3 linked regions of the Arabidopsis thaliana genome follow. The protein of the gene in region 1 binds, or shares a complex with, the protein of each later gene. Each region holds a gene or a part of one and is shown on either strand. Other genes may lie near its edges.

Evidence for each region. Proteins that work in one complex are often made in the same cells at the same time.
Region 2: Tic20-II (region 1) and TIC40 share a complex: the UniProt entries of both Arabidopsis thaliana proteins name them as parts of the tic complex.
Region 3: Tic20-II (region 1) and Tic22-IV share a complex: the UniProt entries of both Arabidopsis thaliana proteins name them as parts of the tic complex.

What each region holds. Positions count from the first base shown.
Region 1 is NC_003071.7:19,592,465-19,598,691, reverse strand, and holds Tic20-II (putative conserved protein ycf60), read left to right. Parts: upstream 1-3,690; 5' UTR 3,691-3,734; coding exon 3,735-4,361; 3' UTR 4,362-4,505; downstream 4,506-6,227. Other genes in the region: AT2G47850 (Zinc finger C-x8-C-x5-C-x3-H type family protein), read right to left, coding at 573-971, 1,064-1,372, 1,458-1,745, 1,821-1,940, 2,028-2,090, 2,420-2,559, 2,652-2,739; AT2G47844 (uncharacterized protein), read right to left, coding at 3,253-3,399; AT2G47830 (Cation efflux family protein), read left to right, coding at 4,719-5,060, 5,147-5,216, 5,299-5,396, 5,586-5,701, 5,931-6,046. UniProt on the Arabidopsis thaliana protein: May be involved in protein precursor import into chloroplasts. Not redundant with TIC20-I, TIC20-IV or TIC20-V.
Region 2 is NC_003076.8:5,448,788-5,456,671, reverse strand, and holds TIC40 (hydroxyproline-rich glycoprotein family protein), read right to left. Parts: upstream 6,053-7,884; 5' UTR 5,865-6,052; coding exon 5,669-5,864; intron 5,418-5,668; coding exon 5,300-5,417; intron 5,212-5,299; coding exon 5,154-5,211; intron 5,044-5,153; coding exon 5,026-5,043; intron 4,616-5,025; coding exon 4,306-4,615; intron 4,187-4,305; coding exon 4,080-4,186; intron 3,973-4,079; coding exon 3,909-3,972; intron 3,547-3,908; coding exon 3,462-3,546; intron 3,357-3,461; coding exon 3,316-3,356; intron 3,132-3,315; coding exon 3,086-3,131; intron 2,980-3,085; coding exon 2,885-2,979; intron 2,804-2,884; coding exon 2,700-2,803; intron 2,600-2,699; coding exon 2,552-2,599; intron 2,470-2,551; coding exon 2,416-2,469; 3' UTR 2,095-2,415; downstream 1-2,094. Other genes in the region: DNA repair protein Rad4 family, read right to left, coding at 1-6, 108-209, 288-380, 482-574, 663-926, 1,210-1,347. UniProt on the Arabidopsis thaliana protein: Involved in protein precursor import into chloroplasts. Part of the motor complex consisting of a co-chaperone (TIC40) and a chaperone (HSP93) associated with the import channel (TIC110).
Region 3 is NC_003075.7:16,062,343-16,068,559, reverse strand, and holds Tic22-IV (Tic22-like family protein), read left to right. Parts: upstream 1-1,662; 5' UTR 1,663-1,844; coding exon 1,845-2,210; intron 2,211-2,300; coding exon 2,301-2,363; intron 2,364-2,735; coding exon 2,736-2,810; intron 2,811-2,906; coding exon 2,907-2,957; intron 2,958-3,074; coding exon 3,075-3,134; intron 3,135-3,239; coding exon 3,240-3,302; intron 3,303-3,708; coding exon 3,709-3,744; intron 3,745-3,829; coding exon 3,830-3,922; 3' UTR 3,923-4,123; downstream 4,124-6,217. Other genes in the region: FLDH (NAD(P)-binding Rossmann-fold superfamily protein), read left to right, coding at 30-335, 431-571; AT4G33355 (Bifunctional inhibitor/lipid-transfer protein/seed storage 2S albumin superfamily protein), read right to left, coding at 992-1,001, 1,114-1,463; PGSIP3 (plant glycogenin-like starch initiation protein 3), read left to right, coding at 5,499-5,684, 5,772-6,217. UniProt on the Arabidopsis thaliana protein: Involved in protein precursor import into chloroplasts. Imported into the intermembrane space via the Toc translocon. May be involved in the import pathway used by proteins without a cleavable N-terminal pre-sequence.

The sequences.
Region 1 (6,227 bases):
AAATAAATATATTCAAGATAATGGTGCCAACCTTCAAAACTAGTCTTGAAATGTAGGTTGTTTCATCACCATAACACATGTAATGTGTGAAGCAGTAACATAACAAAATTAACAACACACATCATTCATCTACAATAAGAACAAACCTTAACACACGAGAAGTACACCAATTGGCAGACTAAAAGAAGAGGAGAATTGAGTTCTTTGTCTCAGTTTTTTTTTTTTTGTTTTTGTGTCTCAGCCGGAATGGGTCTGAAGTAGAAGTACGGACAAGACAAAGAAACCTTGTCTGTCTCTATACAAACATTATACACAAATTCCAAAAAAAAAAAGAAGAAGCCTTTTCTTGTTATCTTTTTTGGTATATGCACATATAGATTTCCTCTCAGATATATGTGATTCTCACTCAGGTCTTCTACTCAAATAGGCTTTTTCTTCTTCTCAAGGTACGAAGATTATATATATAAATTCACATCACATGCTTCTATATAATAATAGTCATATAGATTAAGAATTGCTAAAAGGTGATCCAGAGGACCTGCGTATGCGTACCCTTTTCTGAGGTGATCTATTCAAAAGGATCGACGAATTTCACGCCCTTGTCTTGTGATTCTGCTACCTGTTAGAGGAAGAGAGCTCTGGCTCGAGAGTTGCAGCTCTGAGAATGGAATTGACCCACCGCTCTGGGAGAAAATCAAACCTGCCGAGATGTTTGATGTGCTTCTTGATGTAGGCACACCGGTCATGTAAGCATCTTTTGCACCGCCTGCTATGAGCTCTGTCGATGAAGAAGAAGGGGCAGCTGCCAGAGCACCCAAGAGAGAGCTCACTGGGTAAGGAGCCACCGGTGCATCAGCTAGAGAGGACGCAGAAGGATTGTATCTGATCGTTCCCATTGGATGATCAAACTTACATGTTGATCCAAACTTACAGAAGCCGTTTTGTACGTAGAAAGTGCACCGTTGCACACCCTGTTTTCAACCCAAGATAAACAACGGATTTAGAGACAGAAATGTTATAACTATGATCAACAACCTTTATGACATATTAACACAGAGCATACCGGGCGTAGAGGAAGACCAATGGGGCTGAGGACGCAATTCGCTCTTGGTGGAACCCGATCTCGAGGATGATGAAACTTACAAGATGTTCCAAACTTACAATCTCCTGTTTTCAAATAGTATTGGCACTCTGGTTCACCAGGTCTCTCTGGAAAGGCCTGTTCTTTCTGTATAACACCTGTAGGAGAGGACAGAGATGGATAAACCCCGGGAAGCGAAGGAGTGGTGGAAGTGAGCTGTGTAACTCCATATAAAGAAGTTGCCCCAACAGCGTGCTGCGCACCAGGAGATAGAGCAGGGCTCACAGGTGCCTGAAGCAAAAGCAAAAGTGAGACAGTAAGAGACTGTGGTGAATAACAAATGTATTGATGATACATCAATAAAAAAAAAGGTCACCGAGTAAGGACTCCAGCCTGGAATAGGAACGACCCCGGGGGTTAATAGCATTGGACCATAGGCGCCTTGCATATAAGAACCAGGAAGAAGAGTTCTTGCAACTCTCAAGCTAGAAGATGGACCTCCATACTGGTCAGGCATAAGTGACTGCACCGATGGATAAAACTGAGGTGCAGATGCTGGTGGTGGTGGGACAGTAGTACCAGCAGGCTGAGGATGATGAAATTTACAGGTTATACCAAATTTGCATTGCCCCGTTTTCAAATAGTAGGAGCATTCGTTATCACCCTACAAAGAGTTTATAAAAGATCATGCAAACTCGAGACTAGCCTTTTATTTGACATGAGTGGAAACAAAGCTTACCTCTCGTACAGGGTATCCATATATATTTAGTGGAACGTGGCTCATGGATCCACCTGCATTCTTTGGATGGTGGAATTTGCATGACGCCCCAAATTTACAAGTTCCAGTTTTCAAGTAAAACTGCCAGGAAAGCAGAGATCAATAATATCACAAAAAACCTTGTTTCATCACTTGGAACATATAAAATGACTGGTCGGGGTGGGTTACCTGGCATGGGGGTTCACCAAAACGTTCAGGATACTGCCCGGTAGCTCTAACAGTTGCTTCAACCTATACATGAATCAACATGAGAAAATAGTAAACTGTGGCCAAGCTAAGATGACAAAATGATAAGCTTTTACAAGAGCATACAAAGGTATCAGTAAATACAGGGAAACACCGGGTAGAGTCAATGCATAAGACAAAAAAAAACGTGACGTAAAGCACAACAACTGAAACCAGTAAAGCTTAACAATTTCCCCAGTTTAGAGAGACTCTATAAGGCCAGTGATCACCCACATTGCGGAAAAAACAGAGAGAAGCATTTGATTGTGTCCTCCTAGTATGGATGGTTTCAGAACAATAATAAGAAAGAAGAATGAATGAGAGGAAGAAATTACCGAGGCACGATCGCGAGGGTGATTGTAACGACATCTATTACCGTAGCCACAGACACCAGTTCGCATGTAGTAGGCACAGTCAGGAGCACCTGGTCTCTCAGGGTACGAGTCGCTACCCAACCCTAATCGCCACATCGATTCTGCAAATCACAAAATTGAGCACAGTCAGGGCCATTTAGCGGAAACCCTAAAGAGACCGTACAGTTGCTGAGAATCAAAGCGCATGCGAGACCTTGGAGTCCGGTATCGGCATCTGCAGGGGTCCAGTCGGGAGCTTGAGCAGATTGTGAGCCATTGAGGGGAGGATTGCGAGCATACATGTCCTTAAATTTAGGGATTTGGTGTACAGTAAAAAAGATACTAGTAAAAACTCCTCTCACCAAACTAGAAGAAACTAATAAGAGAGTAAATGTCAAAAGCTCATCGGTGGATCGACAGAGATTTACCGGAGAAGCCGATTAGAAAAGCTCTGAGAGAGAAGAAAAAAAGAAGAAGAAGAAGAAGAGATGCTTCGACAGTGATTGAGAGGAGCTTCTTCTTTGGTCGGTCTCTCTCTCTCTCTCTCTCTTCTTTCGCTCTTCAGGAATACCGTACGGTCTGCCCTCTGCACTACTGTTTCTTTTTTTAGCTTTCAATTTCTTTTTCTCATATTCTTTTTTAAATAATAATAGTATATAGTAGTAGTTTGTATTAATTTGTTTTGTGAGATTTATTTTTGGTTCTCTCTTGGTCCTTGGGTCGCCAAGTAAAAGCATCCCAGAAAAGGGAAGATATTTCCAAGAAATATACTACTTGACAAAACAACAAACAAAAAATAAATAAACTAATTTTTACTAGTTTCCAACCAAAATGACGGTAAGGTCCTTGGGCGGGGATAGCGCGCGAGTGGCCAACATGTGACACACAGACAGTTTTCTCACTTCACTTGCTAACTCGGGGAGTAAAGTGGTCTGGTCCGAAAGTGGGGACACATCCGTCATTTCTACCTGCTACTGTTTCTTAACTGCTCTCTCAACTCGCTCTGACCGAGTCTGACTCGACTCGACTCGCCTTCAATCAATGCCATCACATTTCTTCGTTTCCGCTTCCCATTTGTCGGCGCCACAAAAACCTTCTGTTGTTCACGAAGCCCTCTAGTACCATATATAGGCCCATTTATATAGCTAAGTCGGCCCAATTATGTTGTTAGTGTGCGCGGGCCAAATTTTAGATTCGAAAACGGCAGCGTTTGAGCTGTTACTTTTTTTTGCTCTTCTTGTCAACAAATCGACACTGCCGACTAAACAGCGAAAATCCCAAACAAAAAAATAAAAGAATGGCGTCTCTGTGCCTTTCTCTCCACCAAACCCTAACTAATCCCCTGTCGGCTCCCAGATGCAGACCACTCAGCCTCTCCTTCCCCGGATCCTCAACCTTCTCGATCCGCCCCTCTAGCAGACGCGCAACCGCCTTGACGACCCGCGCCTCCTACACCCCGACGCCGGCGACTGAGCGCGTGATTTCGATAGCGTCGTACGCGCTGCCGTTCTTCAATTCTCTGCAGTACGGGCGGTTCCTGTTCGCGCAGTACCCAAGGCTGGGATTGCTGTTCGAGCCAATCTTCCCAATCCTGAACCTGTACAGATCGGTGCCGTACGCGAGCTTCGTGGCATTCTTCGGGCTGTACCTGGGAGTGGTGAGGAACACGAGTTTCAGTAGGTACGTGAGGTTCAACGCGATGCAGGCGGTGACGCTGGATGTGCTCCTGGCGGTTCCGGTGCTGCTGACCCGAATACTGGATCCGGGTCAAGGAGGCGGGTTTGGAATGAAGGCGATGATGTGGGGGCACACGGGGGTTTTCGTCTTCAGCTTTATGTGTTTTGTGTATGGAGTCGTCAGCTCCTTACTCGGCAAAACTCCATACATTCCATTTGTCGCTGATGCCGCCGGTAGACAACTCTAATTCCGGCCAATATCTACCTCACTCAGTGTTCGGGTTTTCGATTCTAGAATCGGTTATTTCTGGTTTATAAGAGAGACCAAATCAATCAGTGTTGTTAATTAACCATTACCGTTTTAAAAAAAATATTTTTTGTTATACTCCCAACATTTGATTTGGCCCAATATGAAAGAACAGTATGGGGGGCCTTTAATGAAGCTATCATTGACTGAGTATAATTTTACAATCGTCGGTGAAAAGGTAACTAAGTAAACGGTAAAAAAATGAGCGCCGTCTATCTTACCGCGCAATGAATGAGAAGTCAATTTGGGAAACTGATCGGAGAAAAGAGGGAGAGAGGGTTTCTCAGCTGAAATCAAAATGGGTATTATCAGATTTCAAATCCTGAATCCGACGAGGATTTGTAGGTCTACTATATATTATATGTCTTGCCGTTATCTGCCATCATCATCATCATCATCATCACCACTCCGAGTATCTTCTTCTTCATCGCAAAAACCTAGTTTCGATTTCTCCAGAAGGTGGCATTTTGGTCACCCTGATCATCACCAGCAATATCAAAAGCCTGGAGAAGAAGGGGAGAAGATATTCCGGCTAGGTCTCACCGCAGATATAGGTTTATCTGTCGCAAAAGCTCTCACCGGTTATCTCTGCGGCAGCACCGCCATTATCGCCGATGCTGCTCATTCCGTTTCCGATGTGGTAATGAAAATTCTCATTTGCTGAGGACGAGAGATGATCCTTCCTTTGGTTTTGTTTCTCACATGATCATCATCATTATATCTCAGGTTCTAAGTGGTGTTGCTCTAGTGTCTTACAGAGCTGCAAATGTTCCCAAGGACAAAGAACATCCTTATGGTTACCTTTTCTCTTCTCTTTCCTTTGATGTAAATACATTATAATAACAATGAACTGAATTTCCCCATGCATACAAGGGCAGGTCATGGTAAATTTGAAACGCTTGGAGCACTTGGCATCTCTGCCATGCTTTTGGCTACTGGCTCTGGTATTGCCTGGCATGCTTTAGACCTTTTATCTGTATGACCACCACTCTCTCCTTTCTCTTTCTTTTTTAATTACTCATCTCCACCTCCACAACCTTGCTTCATTGTATGAGAATATATTGCACTTCATGTTTATCTTTTATCGATCCTCCATTGTTTGTTTTATTTGGGATATAATAAATTCAATTTACAGAGTTCTTCTCCCTTCCTTTCTCATTTGCAGATTGCACTGTCCGCAGCTCCTGAGGTAATTCATAGTGGACATCATCACGGCATTGATATGAATCATCCCATTCTCGCTTTGACTGTTACTATTGCTTCCATTTCTATCAAAGAAGGGTACAAACATCACTTTATTTATCACTCTTTTCAATCCAATCAAGTTTATCATACCCCATTGCTTTACGTCTACAGCTTTTGCTCTACCGTCGCTTCTTACTAGACAATTGCAAATTTTCACTTTAGTTAGACTTGCTTCTCAGAACCTACCGCCCCTTTTCTTTTGATCCTTCATCCCTATTCTCTTCACTTATTTTGATCCTTCATCCCTGAATCTTATGTTTCTCAGGCTTTATTGGATCACAAAACGAGCAGGTGAAAAACAAGGGAGTGGTTTGATGATGGCAAATGCTTGGCATCATCGATCAGATGCTATTTCTTCTCTAGTTGCACTTGTTGGAGTTGGTAAGCTTTTCTTTCCAATCAGTACATATGTAAATCAACTATATCCTTTGTTTCAATATCCCAGACCTGGTCACGCATATGGCTACTACTAAAGAACTGGAGACAATGTAGATCTCTGAATTCCATTTATTTACTTTTACCAAGTCTCTCTCATCGGTCCAGCTATTGTACGGAACTACTG
Region 2 (7,884 bases), on another chromosome or scaffold:
TGCAAGCTGCAAAAATGTTTCCATAAGTTTCGTAAACAGAGGTTTCAACAATACAAGTAACCATATAATGAAAAGGTTCAATGGCATAAATCTGATCCCAAGCTTACCTCTTCCGCTGTGCCTTTACGAGATTCAAGAGCAAATGCTAGGGATGTACGAAAAGATTTCTCAGAACTGGGAGAACAACTAACAGAAAAGTTTTCACGAACCTACAATTTAAACCAGGGAACATTTGTTTAACCTTTCCATTAGAACAAAACAAAAGCTACATGCCAGTAAATCCATACCCAACGAAGAAGAGGGGCTATATCCTTGACAGTAACTTTCTCGAGATTTGATACTTTTGTCAAGTATGATGGTAGAAGTGAAAGCAAGGCAGCCTGCACGTTAAATGTAAAAACTAAACTTTATATCGCAGGTTGCAATATGAAAAATTTAACTTTGAAGCAACTGCTAACACTGTTGTATTCAATTTATTCACCTGAATCAAGGGATCATTACAAGCACTGTCAACTATCCTCCCTCTTGCAAGCAGACAGAGCAAGTGCACCTTATGGACAAGTTCCGCCCGTACCTTTGAGACAAAGCACAAATCTCTAAAGCAACCACATTTTAAAGAATAAACAAAAGTAAGCATATTGTGTTTCCTAAGCACAGTATACCTTGTCTTCTGCTGTTGCACGGTATGCATTCTTCTGCTTCTTAGCATCAGGAACATCATCATCAAATTCTATGGTTAGCTCTCTGGTGTCATCAACATTATTATCATCAACCGTACTATCAAGACTAGGGATTGGACAGTCTTCCCAGTCTGAATCATTCATTTCATCATCATCAACATTACCACATCCCCTGTCCTCTAGAACGTTATCAATCAATCTTGCGTCGAGCGCTTGCTTTCCCTTACCGTTTACGCCTTTATCCCGCTGCAATGATAGAAGAGTATTAAATAATTTTACACTCCCGGACAACATAGGACTAGATAAGACAAAAATCTCCACTGTCCCAAGAAAATCTTTAGGCATAGGACAAGGAAACTATTTTTAACAGCCATTGATAATTGGTTAGTAGTACCACGGACTTCACAATCTTCAAGGAAACCTTGAAAACAATCAATAGAATTCGTTGCTTCTAACATCTTAAGTACCCTGGTAAACATAGTGAAATCATTATAACAATAATGTTGTTTGCATGAATAGAAGAACAAACCTTAGCGGAATCACAGTTATCATCTTGCTTCTTCTTGCCTCGAGAGCCACGGGCGCTGCTTTTGTCTAGAACTTTGTTGACTGCTACTCTAGAGGCTTGTGCAAGCCTACAATTCTTACTTTCACTTCTAGACTTCATCAAGAGAAACCTAAGCATTAAAACCAGAAAGACAACGGTAAGACAATCCCAAAACGGAGTCATCATAACTCTTTGCAACTTTCATCAATGATTAAACTTTAACAATATAATATCCAATTCCAAAGATAATGTGTAATGTTCTCGCATAGAGTTCTTGAGGTTACATTACCTAAGACTAAGAAAGAGACAATATTTACTAAAAAGACAAAAGCTTTCTGAATAATCATGCTCACAGAATATCACATACCGTCAAACATTACGATTTTATAACTAAAACACTCTTCAAATGAATACCAAGCAAGGATGGTTTTTTCTCCTCGATTTTCTCAAGAGTCAGGGGATTATAAAGAACGGAAATACAAATTTGAAGTCACAAGGATACTTACCCACGACTCAATCATGCGACTCACAGCCGTCGGAGGCAGACGTATTCGACGGAGCCAAGGATTTCACGCGCCAATTCTCCCGACAACGACCGACGTACGGAATACAACAACAACAAAAAAAAACTCCGACTCCGATAGAAGTGGAACGATAAGGGTCATTGATTTCTTTAAGATGGGGCCATCACTTCATTAAACCGCTTCGATATCGCCACGTCACTTCTCCTTTTGGATATTAAAAATAAGGTAAAATTCCAAAATAAATCACAACTATTTAAAATTTGCGAGAAAAAAACTTCAATTTTTTAAATTGCTAAAACAAAATATTGGCAGATTTATTCACACAATCTCAAACAAAAAAAATTGAGGTTTTTTCAAGCAAATTTTGAATACATGAAGTTTATTTTGGAAATTTTCCCTTAAAAATAATAATTTGCTCTTCAGTGTCTTCATAGACTTTTTTTGGTAAGACAACAAATTCTATTGTATAATATTCATACCAAACAACAGCAGCGGCGTTTTCACACGACTCCAATTCCCGACCGCGTTTAAGATTAACATGGTACACAATTCTCTGATCTGACCAAAACTGAAGACTCTTTGCAAAAAAAAAAACATTTTTTTCTCCCTACAAAAAGCTAAAGACAATGTGACATTTTTGATAGAACCAAAGACGTGAGCTTTTTCAACCCGTCATTCCTGGGAAGAGCTGCGATATCTTGTTGAACACATCCATTACCTGCAATCAATGTATAATAACCTCAAATTTCTTAAAAAAGTAATCGCCTTTTTGGGCAATGGAGAAGTGGCAGTATTATTACCTCTTTGTCGTTTTGGTACTTCATGATGTTCATTGGGTTCTCTGAGCACTGCAACAACAACAAGAATGTAATTGGTTTCTGTTTTGTATGAAGAAAGAAGTGGGGTAAAATTAAGCAATTCTCTTATTCAGGTTAAAAGAAAACGTACTTCCATTAACGCTGCTTGGACTCTAGGATTCTGGAATGCCATGGCAACATCAGGGTTCTCCATGATCTTAGATATGACTTCTTCTGGAGTTAGTCCTATTTGATCTGACAAATACAGATTCAATCATTGAGTATCAGACCTATTTAACGTACTATTAACTTGGTACAAACTGAGATTTGTCTTACTGAATTGTTGCTTCACTTCAGGACTATTCAGGTCAAAATTCTTCAATGTATCTGTCATTCGCTTGTCCCATTCACCACTCCCACTCATATTATTCCTAAATTCATGAAAAGAAACAAACAAGAGTATTTCTTAATTACATAGTTTAGACATTCTTAAAAGCAATGGAAACAACTAAATTGTTCGTAAAATGGAGCTCTTACAACATGTCCTGTAGTTGTTGACGGTACTGAGGATTTTTAAGCATCCCTACAAAATTCCAAGCGGAGACAATAAGTACCAAACTGTATTTTAAATTTAGATAACCATTGGATCAACCTATAAACGAATTACATCATTCAAAAGCTAGTCATGTAACCTTTAGTCTTTAGAAATATGTAAAAATGAGGACTAATAAAAGAATGATAGCAGGATTAAATATTAAAAGACTTACATTTGAAAGTTTCTGGGTTCCTCATCTCCTCAGGCAAGTATCTGCATTTATACATGCAATGTTACCAAATGTCCACTAAGCAACCAGTTTTAAAGATAAACTTAATGGATGCATTTAAAGACAATGTGCTAGGGAAGATGAGTTACGGGTAAACCATCTTCTGGACTGTTGGATCTTCCATCATTTTCTCTAAAGCTTCTACAGATAAACCCGGCCCTCCTTTCCCACCACCTGTGTAAACAATAGACAGACTCAGGATTCAGTTTTAAATTTAGAATAAGGAAAAGAGAGACAATAACGTGAGCATATAAGAAAAAAGAATCATAACACATGAGATATGAAACAGATTGCCAAGGTAATATCCTGCAAGTCTTATATGGTTATACCAATACAGATCAACGACTAGCAGAAGGACAAAAGTAACGGAGTAGATCCTTTTGAAGCCAACTCATTCCTCTTTATCACCAATTTCATATCTTCCTTTGTTTATAATTGTTGGCATATGCTATAAAATAAAATTGAAATCCGTAGCCTTAATCATGAATCATGCACAGTGCGCTGATAGTGATGAAAACTGAAATTCAATAACTCACCCAAAGATTGAAAAACCTCTGAAGCAGTGGCACCATTTGCCGGACCAGCTCCATTTTGCAAGACCTTCACCCAGAGATCAATAAGAGAGCATAGAAGGTTAGCAAAACTATGTCACGTTTTTAAATCACCACTTGGTGTGCTGTGGAAATACAAAAGAAAACGAAACTTACATCCTCAAACAAGCGAGTTTCTTTGGGGGAATTAGTTTCAGAGACTTCTGCATAGTTGCTAAATGGGCTTTCTTTTGTGGTTTCCTCGGGTGAAATGTCTTCAAAGGCTGCATCCAAAAGTAAATCAGCTTCCAAGTTAGAAGCTTGGAAAATGAGAAAGGAAGAAAGTCAAAATTGAGAATACAAATGAAAAGACGTTGATTTCTGAAACAGAAAAAGAATCTACCATAGTTCTTTTCTTCTTTCTTCTCTTTGCTTGCCTCTAAGACAACACTTGGCTTATCCACCTCTATATCCTTTGCAGGTGTAGGTTTCGGTTTAGTTGAAGGAGGTGTCTCTACTTTTGTCGCTGTCACATCAACGGTAGCACCTGAAGACTGGGATTGAGATTGGAATGGCGAGGAAGCAGGACTTGTTTGAGGAGGAAATGGAAACGGAAAAGGTGATCCTGATGGGAATCCAGAATTATTAAACTGGCTATTTTGCGTATTCATTTGGTTCATCATCGTCTTCATAGCTGTTTGCATTGCATATTTCTAAACCAAAGCAAAAAAAAAAATCCAAAGAGAGTAACAGCCGGTTAGAGAATAATGAGAGAAAGCAATGACAACTTGTATAATATATTTCAATCAAATACTGGAGTTGCGAAAATGACTATAAGTCTGAATACCTGAGTTGCATCACTAAAACCATAATGGTATGTAGGTTACCATCTACGAATCAAGTGACTACCCAAAAAAAGAGAGGCAAAAGTTCGATGCTTATATAAACGGTTCAACAAGTGTGAGCAAACAGTTCACCTTGTTAAGATAACCAGTTTAGTGAATAAAACTATCTCAGATACATGAGCACAATACACTAGAGTTGACATGAAGCATAAAATCGTGGTTCTGCAACAGACTAGAGAACAAAAGTCCCGTAAAACCAGAGGGCCAAGTATCTGTACCTTTAAATTTGAAGTTACCTGCAATGCCATCAGAAAAGAAAAAAGGTCAAGCACTTATTAATCAATATTGAAGCAAGAAAGAATATTTATAGAGGAAAAAAAAATTAGGAAGGAATCTTGATACTCACATATGAGAACAAAGCTGATAGACCAACACCAACACCAATCCAGAAAAGTGGTGATCCTCTACAAGAAAAAAGAAAAAACACAATTTAATAACCAAGAATCAAACGACATACAAACTAAGCACATTGTCCAAAACCAGGAAAATTACATGGTTGATGAAGATGGTGGTGGCACAGGCACACTAGGGGAAGCAACAGAAGTTGTCTGTTGATCACGACTCGAAGAAAATATACTTGCAAAAGCTTTGCTTCTCTGTTTCACAACCACTGCAAATCGAACATAAACTTAAAGTAAACAATTCTAACAATGAATGGTTTCTACAAGAATTCAAATTGCAAATTCACAAAGTGTGGATTTTTTTAAGAGATATAGCAATTCATAAGCTCATATTAAACCAGTCGAAAAGGGTTCGCAATTTGAGTTTCAATAAGATAGATAAAAGTAATAAACTGGAAATTTTTCCGGAAAATTTTGGCATTTGCTATAATAGAGTGTCGAGTGGAATTTGCAAACTAACCGATTTCTCCAGTGTTCTCCGGACGCGAAGAGGGAGATTGAGATTGAGCAGAGGCAGATATTTTGGAACACCGGAGGACAATATTAGGAGTCCGACGAGAAAACCCAGTAGGGTTTTTCAGCGAGGAAGTGAAATTGCATCCAATTAACAGCTTTGGAGAAGAAGCTGAGCAAGAAACTAGGGTAAGGTTCTCCATATCTAATTGTTTCTTTGGGAGAAAAAGAAACAGAAGAAGGAGAGCCTAAAACAAATTCTGGTGGAGAAGATGAAAGATATGATGAGGAAGAAGGAAACGAAGAAGAAGAGATTTTGGTCTAAAACCACGAGGTTTGAGTTTAGCACTAGACTTGGATCCAGTGTAGCTAAGTGTACTGAAACCTTTTTACAAATTAACAGGTGGCGATATTTTCACCGTCAAGATCAATGAGTTTTATTTATAAACCAAGGGTGTGATGTGAGTGAGAAACTCTTTCGAGATTATTGCAAAAGCCATCCCCCACTTTTTCTTTTTGTTATGTTATAGCCCGTATCTATTTTAAGAATCAGTGTACACTCATTTTTGTAGCAGAAAATCAATGATGTTAGTACTGTGATTCAGATTTTTCTATATACTGTGTTCTTTTTCTTTTTTTCATCCAGAATTTTTCCATTGTATTATAGGTTGTGAAATACAAAGGGTGGAATACAAATTTGAAACACAAAGCCGGCGGAAAACAAAAATATCTCCGGAAACTAAACCTAAAGAAGGGAAAACTTAAGACGAAAAACGAATAAAATTACGAACTATGGAAACAAGGGGAACCACAGATGGATTAGTCCCCAATTAAGCCCATACATGAGAACAACAAAATTGGCTAGGTTTTTCGTTGTGTTTCTCGTCCAAACGAATGAGACTACGCCCAAATGGGACTAATCCATTTGTAGTTATACTGTTGTGTTTTTCGGATTGTCCAAAAAATTGAATACTTAGTTCAAAGCTCACAATGAACAGGTTCAAGAGCCTTACGCCTTTAACATTGATTTAGGATTAGAGAGTCTGGAACCGTTGCCGAGTTACATAGTTTACACATTTCTTATTAGAAAAGAGTTTTAGTAATAAAGAAAGATACACTTTCATATAGTTTCTGAATATTATTATGGAAGTGTAAGTCTCCTATATGTAACTCGTTCACCTTCATCATCAAATTGGTTTACACAGTTTGTTCCATATGTCATTCCCAAAGTACATTGTTCTGTCAAATTATTCCACCATGTGGTAAACATCGAATAATGCTCTCTTCTATTTTCCCAATTTTTTGTGAATTTTCCCCAATTCGAACATAAAATGACATTAAAATTCCTAACTCAATATCTTTGTAAGAAGAAACCCACTCTTGGTTGGATACATATCAAGCATCCAAAAAAGATCACAAAGTAATCTTACAAATCAGCTACGTTTAACAATATCGAAGACAAAAACAGAATTCATAGCTGCTTCTCAGACAAAGGGCACAATGATTCCACATATGAGTGCTTGAGAAAATGATAATGTTCTTCAAGATTTAAACTAAGAAAAATATCGAACAAGAGCTCTACACTGATCTCTTCCTTGATCTAAAACACAAAGGGAAACAAATCCCCTTCAAGTATTTTAGATCAAAGTGTCATCAAGCAATACATATAGCTCAAGAACTCTTTCTTTGGATTAAATCAAGAAGAACCACATCACATTCTCAAGCCCATCTTTTCAGTGTGGTTAAAGCAATATAATCATCATAGAACAGCCAAAAAAACAAACCAATTTTTTTTTTTAAAACAACAAATTTAGAAAAACTGAATATGAGAAAAAGCTGCTTCTCAGACAAGGGCCAAGGTTGTCCACATGAGTGAGCTTGAAAAACGTGAATGTTCTTCAAGCCTCAAACCATGAAAAATGTTGATAAGAGCTCGACATTACTCTCTACCTTAATCTAAACCACAAAGGAGAAAAAGAATCCCCTTCAAGCAACTTAGATCAAAGTGTCATCAAGAAACTCCGAGATCAAATCTAATCTTTCTCTGGTTTGAATCAAGAAGAGCAAAATCACATTCTCAACCCCATCTTTTCAGTGTGGTTAAAGCAAAAAGAATCATCATAGAGCAGCATCAAAAAGCAAATTTTCACAAAACCTTTATTTGAGAAAAGGTTAACACTTTATCATAGAAATTCGAAGATCTAAAATATCCAAACATAAGAT
Region 3 (6,217 bases), on another chromosome or scaffold:
TTGATTATCACATGATGTTGTTCTTCTAGTTGATCGAGCGCTTTAACGGGAGGTTGCCTGGATATATTGGCTCTGGGACGGATAGATACTCCTTCAGCCATGTTGATGATGTTGTGGAGGGTCATGTTGCTGCAATGGAAAAAGGTAGGCTTGGTGAAAGATACTTACTCACTGGGGAAAATGCTTCTTTCAAGCTTGTCTTTGACATGGCTGCACTGATTACTGGAACCAAAAAGCCAAACTTTAGCATTCCATTATGGGCCATCAACGCATACGGATGGTTATCTGTTTTAATCTCTCGGGTTACAGGAAAGCTTCCACTTATCAGTCCTCCGGTGAGTTTCAATTGCATTCATTAGTTGCCCACATATTATAGATTATCTTATTAGGTATAGAATAATCTCAACTCTTAGTATTTTGTGATGAACAGACAGTGACAGTGCTGAGACATCAGTGGTCATACTCTTGTGATAAGGCTAAGCTGGAACTTGGTTATAACCCTCGAAGCCTAAAGGAAGGATTGGAGGAGATGCTCCCTTGGTTGAAGAGTCTGGGCGTCATTCACTACTGAAATTCAAATTTCCCATCTTTCAGGTATTTCGAAGAATAATATTCCCTTGAATTCAGTCACTATGATGAGTGATGACTACATTTTTACTTCTCCCGTTACACTTTTAACCCAATCGATTTTTATCTTGTTACAAAACTGCTTCGTTTTGATCGTGTATGTCAAATAAATGTGAAACATTGTGTGCAAATGCTGATGATCATATTTTAAGATGTTGAGCTACGTGTGAGAGTAGGAAAGAGGGAATATGTAAATGTGGGAAATAATCACATTTTATCTGCCAAGAACTATATGATTACATCTATAACATATATGATCAGAAGATAAATACTAAGTATCCATATAATTTGTTCATGATGGTTTTGATCTTTTAGGATATCCACTTTATTGTAGCTGCATGGCCGTTGGTAGTCAATCTTCTTTTCAGTTTATGCTGTTCAGTGTTCACAAAACAAATTAAATAGGTCAATTAGAGGATTATGTAGTTAGAAGCTCTCACAACTACACATGTTTCGGCAATATTAAAAAGAAACTGCAGTAGCTACCTGTTACAGTCCACAGTCTTAGAGAAAGGGACTCCTATATTAACACCACATTTAGCAGGGAGTTGTTTGGCAAAATCATCATTAATTCCAGGGATTGTATTAGCTACACTCTTCAAGCAATTACAAGCTACTTGTCTATCGGCTTTCTCAGGCGCTGCGGCTTTTAGACTATTAAGTCCGTTGCAGCACATTGGAGACGGATTTCCTCCAGCTTTTAGATAAGGCAAACATTGTGCTAAGTACATGTTTACCTGCGGACATGCTATGGCTTCTCCATGATACGCAATCCCCAATAAAATCGTAATCACAAGTAGTAACATTTTTCGGGTTGTAGTAGTAATGTTCCTCATATTTTTCAGTTAACGAGAGTTTTAACAATTTTGTTTTCTTTAGTGTGTTGTTTGCTTGATCTAGTAAGTATTTTATAAGGAGGAGAAATTTGGAGGAAAAAAATGTCATCGACATGAATTTTGAGTGACAAAAGCTTTTTGTAAGTCATGTCATGTGTTTAGAATGGTGTGGAAGTTGAGTTTAGAAAGTTAATAAATGCTTTGTCACCAAACTTTTGATCAAGGGCCATATTAAACGTAAACTAAAACCAATCAAGTCCAATAAAGCCCAAATAAAAAAGCCCAAACGAATTGCTCTGAAGCCTTTTTCTTCACTCTCTTCATAGTATCAAAAATTGCTTCTTCTTCTTCTACTTCTTTCTTCTCTCTGCAAATCCAAAAATGGAGTCATCAGTGAAACCCAATCCTTTCCTCTCCTTCTCTTCTTTCATTCACCACCAGTGTACCCGCTTCAGCTCCGACCTCTCCGCCCGAATCGAAGACACGAAACGATTCGCCGAAACCCTAGCTACTCGACGTTTCTCTCTTCCTACTCCGCCGCCTTTCGCCTCCGTCTCACAATCCAAGTCTGGAACCCCGACGACGACGTTGAGTCCATCTCTTGTCGCTAAAGCTCTCGCTGGGACGTCGGTGTTTACAGTCAGTAACACCAATAACGAATTCGTTCTTATCTCGGATCCTACCGGAGGCAAGTCTATCGGTTTGCTCTGTTTTCGACAAGAGGATGCTGAAGCTTTTCTTGCTCAGGTTTCGCTTTTTGTTGTATTTTTCTCCTCCGAACTTTTTTAAAAAAATGTGAAGTTTCTGAGCTCATAATTCTCTAATATACTCCTTTAGGCGCGACTTCGGAGAAGAGAATTGAAAACCAATGCGAAGGTTGTTCCCATTACTCTGGACCAGGTAGTTCCCTTTCCTTATGATCACTGCATTAGATCAATGTGGAAGAAGCCATTGGTTAAATCAAATGAAACAAACAAATTTCAGGAGCTCAAATTCTAAGTAGACTTGTTCATGTCTGGCCTCATTTTAGTTGTTTATATTATACGGTAATAGGAACACCTGTTGGCAGTTTGAATGAACGGGAGATTGTGTTCTTGTGCACGTAGCAATGTTGACAACATCGTCACAAGAAAGAATGCAACGATGGCATGATTATAATCCCTCTAATGGCTTGGAACTTATAAGTTATAACTACGTTTAGGGAACTTTTTGATGTTATTTGCGTAATCGTGGTAGCTACATTCCCAGAAGTTAAGATGATGTTGTTTACAGGTGTACTTGCTAAAAGTTGAAGGGATTTCCTTTCGCTTCTTGCCAGATCCAATCCAAATAAAGAATGCGTTAGAGGTTGGCTCATGCTAAACAGACTTTTAATTATATGTGTCTATAGCATTTATTTGGCATTTCAATCTTATCCATAAGCTATATTTTCTTGCGTCTCAGCTCAAATCCTCAGGAAATAAGAATGGGTTTGATGGAGTTCCGGTTTTTCAGGTAAATTGATATACTCATTTTCTGTGTTTTTCTATTATACCAATATGGATTCCTTATGTTTTGGTGTTTTTGCTTTGTTTTCTCTTGATATCTATCTGTTGTTATTGGCCTCTACAGTCTGAGCTTCTTGTTGTGAGGAAAAAAAATAGACGTTACTGCCCTGTATATTTCAGTAAGGTTGGTTAGTTTCTTCTCCCACGTTAAAGAATACTAATAGATCTCTCATAAGCCAAAACAGAGGAAGATAACTCTTACTTTCCTGTTCTGCGTGACCACTTTCAGGAAGATATAGAGAGGGAACTTTCTAAATATACGAGAGCATCAAGAGGAGATCAACAAATTATGGTAATGATTCATACCTACCTTCTATGTATTTGAATCTTCGATAGGCCACGTAAGATAGAAACAAACACCTTGATCTAAAGACATGGTTTACTAACAAGTGGGAGTAGCTAGTAGCTGTGTTGGCATCATATGTAATTTCTAGCATTTTTTGTGATTACATGTTCTGCAAACATATAACACCATGTTTTCAAAGGAACAGCGAGGGAAAGGGAAAAGTCTTAGAAAACTTTAGAAAGAGCGGAATTCAGATTGTACATGCCTTCATATATCTGAGTTAAAATGAATTCCAAGGTTTATCGTTATCAAAGTTGCATATCAGAGATCAATATATAAAGTAATTTCACAGCATTGGTTTTGTTAAGAGTTTTCTTATCTTCACCATGGAACTAATCTTTTTGTTTTGCAGGTTGGGAGTCTGGAAGATGTGTTGAGGAAAATGGAGGTACTCACGCTTCTTCTTTGTTTAAAGAAACCTTAAAGTATGAAAACCTGGTAGTCTAATAAAAATCTGAATTGAATCAATGTAGATGAGCGAGAAGAATTCAGGTTGGGAAGATGTAATATTCATTCCACCGGGAAGAAGTTATGCACAACACATGCAGGATTTGATCAAAGAGTAAAACCATAATAGACACAATGTGTGTATTTTTACTTGATAAAAAAAAAACAGCCTCTTTTGAGATTTTGCAATATTATCAATTGCCCAAAGAGCTCAACACAGTCCCAAAATTTAGTTTTCTCCTCTCCTTTTACCACTTAAACACATCATCAACATGTTACTCGTGGTTCTTACATCCAGAAAAATATATTTGGCATATACGGATACCTAAATCAAATAACATAATCTTGTTTGTTTTAAAAAGTGGAGATGTACGTTATTCATCTGTCATTAGAATGTAGTATCAGCCTAATTATTCAAAGGAGGTTGAGGCCTCTAAAATGATATGTTGGTTTAAGCTAATTATTGATCAAATTTGGTTGATATACGATTATTAAAACTAAGATGTCTTACCAATACTTATTTTCATTTTCTTTTCCTCTCATCATAATCGCTTTGACATCTCAGCTTAATGATAATGTGATTATTTTCATCCTTACTAATTGTTACTGCCTTAAAAAAAACAAGTTGAAGTAAGAAAAAGAAAAGGAGATGAGATTGTTTCAAAAGCATTGATCCTTTCCTGAAGCGTAAGTAAGCGATGTTGACAGCAGAACTAAACTTGTTGCTTGCTTGACTTCCTCCGTCGTCGCATATTGCACCTACTAACATTTTTTCTCTTCTTTATTCTTCCAACCAATTGTAGCCTATGGTCTTTTGTACCAATTTTTCAAAAGTTGTAGTTGGTAGAGGTTTTGTGAACAAATCTGTAACATAATTTATTTTCTAACATAGATTGCATCGTTTTCTGATAAAGATCATCAAATTGTGGAAATATGTAGTTTTTTTTTAGTTTTTTTTTTTTGGGCGGAAATATGTAGTTTATTATCCTACTTTTGATGACATTTTCCTTTATTCAATTGAGCTGTAACTACTACTTTATTTTATTTTTGTATTGTGTTAAGTTGTTGTATAGTCTTTATCGGAGATTACATGTTCTCCGAACTTATGTAACAGCAAGCATTCACAATTTGTCTCATTATTTACCAAGATTTGTGAATAGATAAAGTGGTAACAAAAGTCAATGTCCTGGAGCACCATTAATAGTAGAACCTTCAAATGACGGTAGATAACTTTTAATGAAATCCCTTTTGGGTTTTGCATTGGATGAGATAAAGTGATATATGTAGTAAATAAAAAGGATCCCTTACAATATTGTAATTTTGGTCCCATGTTTGGAGGTGAGAGCAAATACGTATCTTAAGGCATACGTATCGCAAACTCATGTCATTATCCAACCACAATCGTTGGCGACATATCTTTGTTTAATAATAATACATCAGGCTTGTGTTTGAGTAAAGAAAATCCTTTGACACGTCCAATGTAAACTCTTTTAGACGTTTTTTTTGTCCTACTCAAAAAAACTCAACCTCTACTTAAAGTACTAATTACCATGTTTTTGTTTTTTTCTCTACCCTTCACGTGGTTCGCATACAAAGAATATTCCTACACATATTTCTCGTGAAACCTTTAAACATTTTGATTTAGGAGTGTATATATATAAGATGAAAGATAAATGTTTGTCATTCAGAAACGAGATGACGATAATGACGATGATAATGAAGATGGCTCCTTCCAAATCTGCACTGATACGCTTTAATCTAGTCTTGTTGGGTTTCTCTTTTCTTCTCTACACTGCCATTTTCTTCCACCCTTCTTCATCAGTCTATTTCAGCAGCGGAGCTTCCTTTGTTGGATGCTCTTTTCGTGATTGCACTCCCAAGGTAAGGTGAGTTTACATTTTTGTTTGCAGAGTAAATCTTATATCAAAACTTAGACTAATAGATATCTTTATACTGCTATGTGATCAGGTGGTGAGAGGAGTGAAGATGCAAGAACTCGTTGAAGAGAACGAAATAAACAAGAAAGATTTGCTAACCGCTAGTAACCAGACAAAGCTGGAGGCGCCAAGCTTCATGGAAGAGATTTTAACAAGAGGGTTAGGAAAAACAAAGATAGGGATGGTGAACATGGAAGAATGTGATCTTACTAATTGGAAACGTTATGGCGAAACGGTTCACATACATTTTGAGCGTGTCTCGAAGCTCTTCAAATGGCAAGACTTGTTCCCCGAGTGGATAGATGAAGAGGAAGAAACCGAGGTTCCCACATGTCCTGAGATACCTATGCCCGATTTCGAAAGCTTAGAGAAGTTGGATTTGGTAGTAGTGAAGTTGCCTTGTAATTACCCTGAAGAAGGGTGGAGAAGAGAGGTTTTGAGGTTGCAAGTGAACCTAGTTGCGGCTAACTTGGCAGC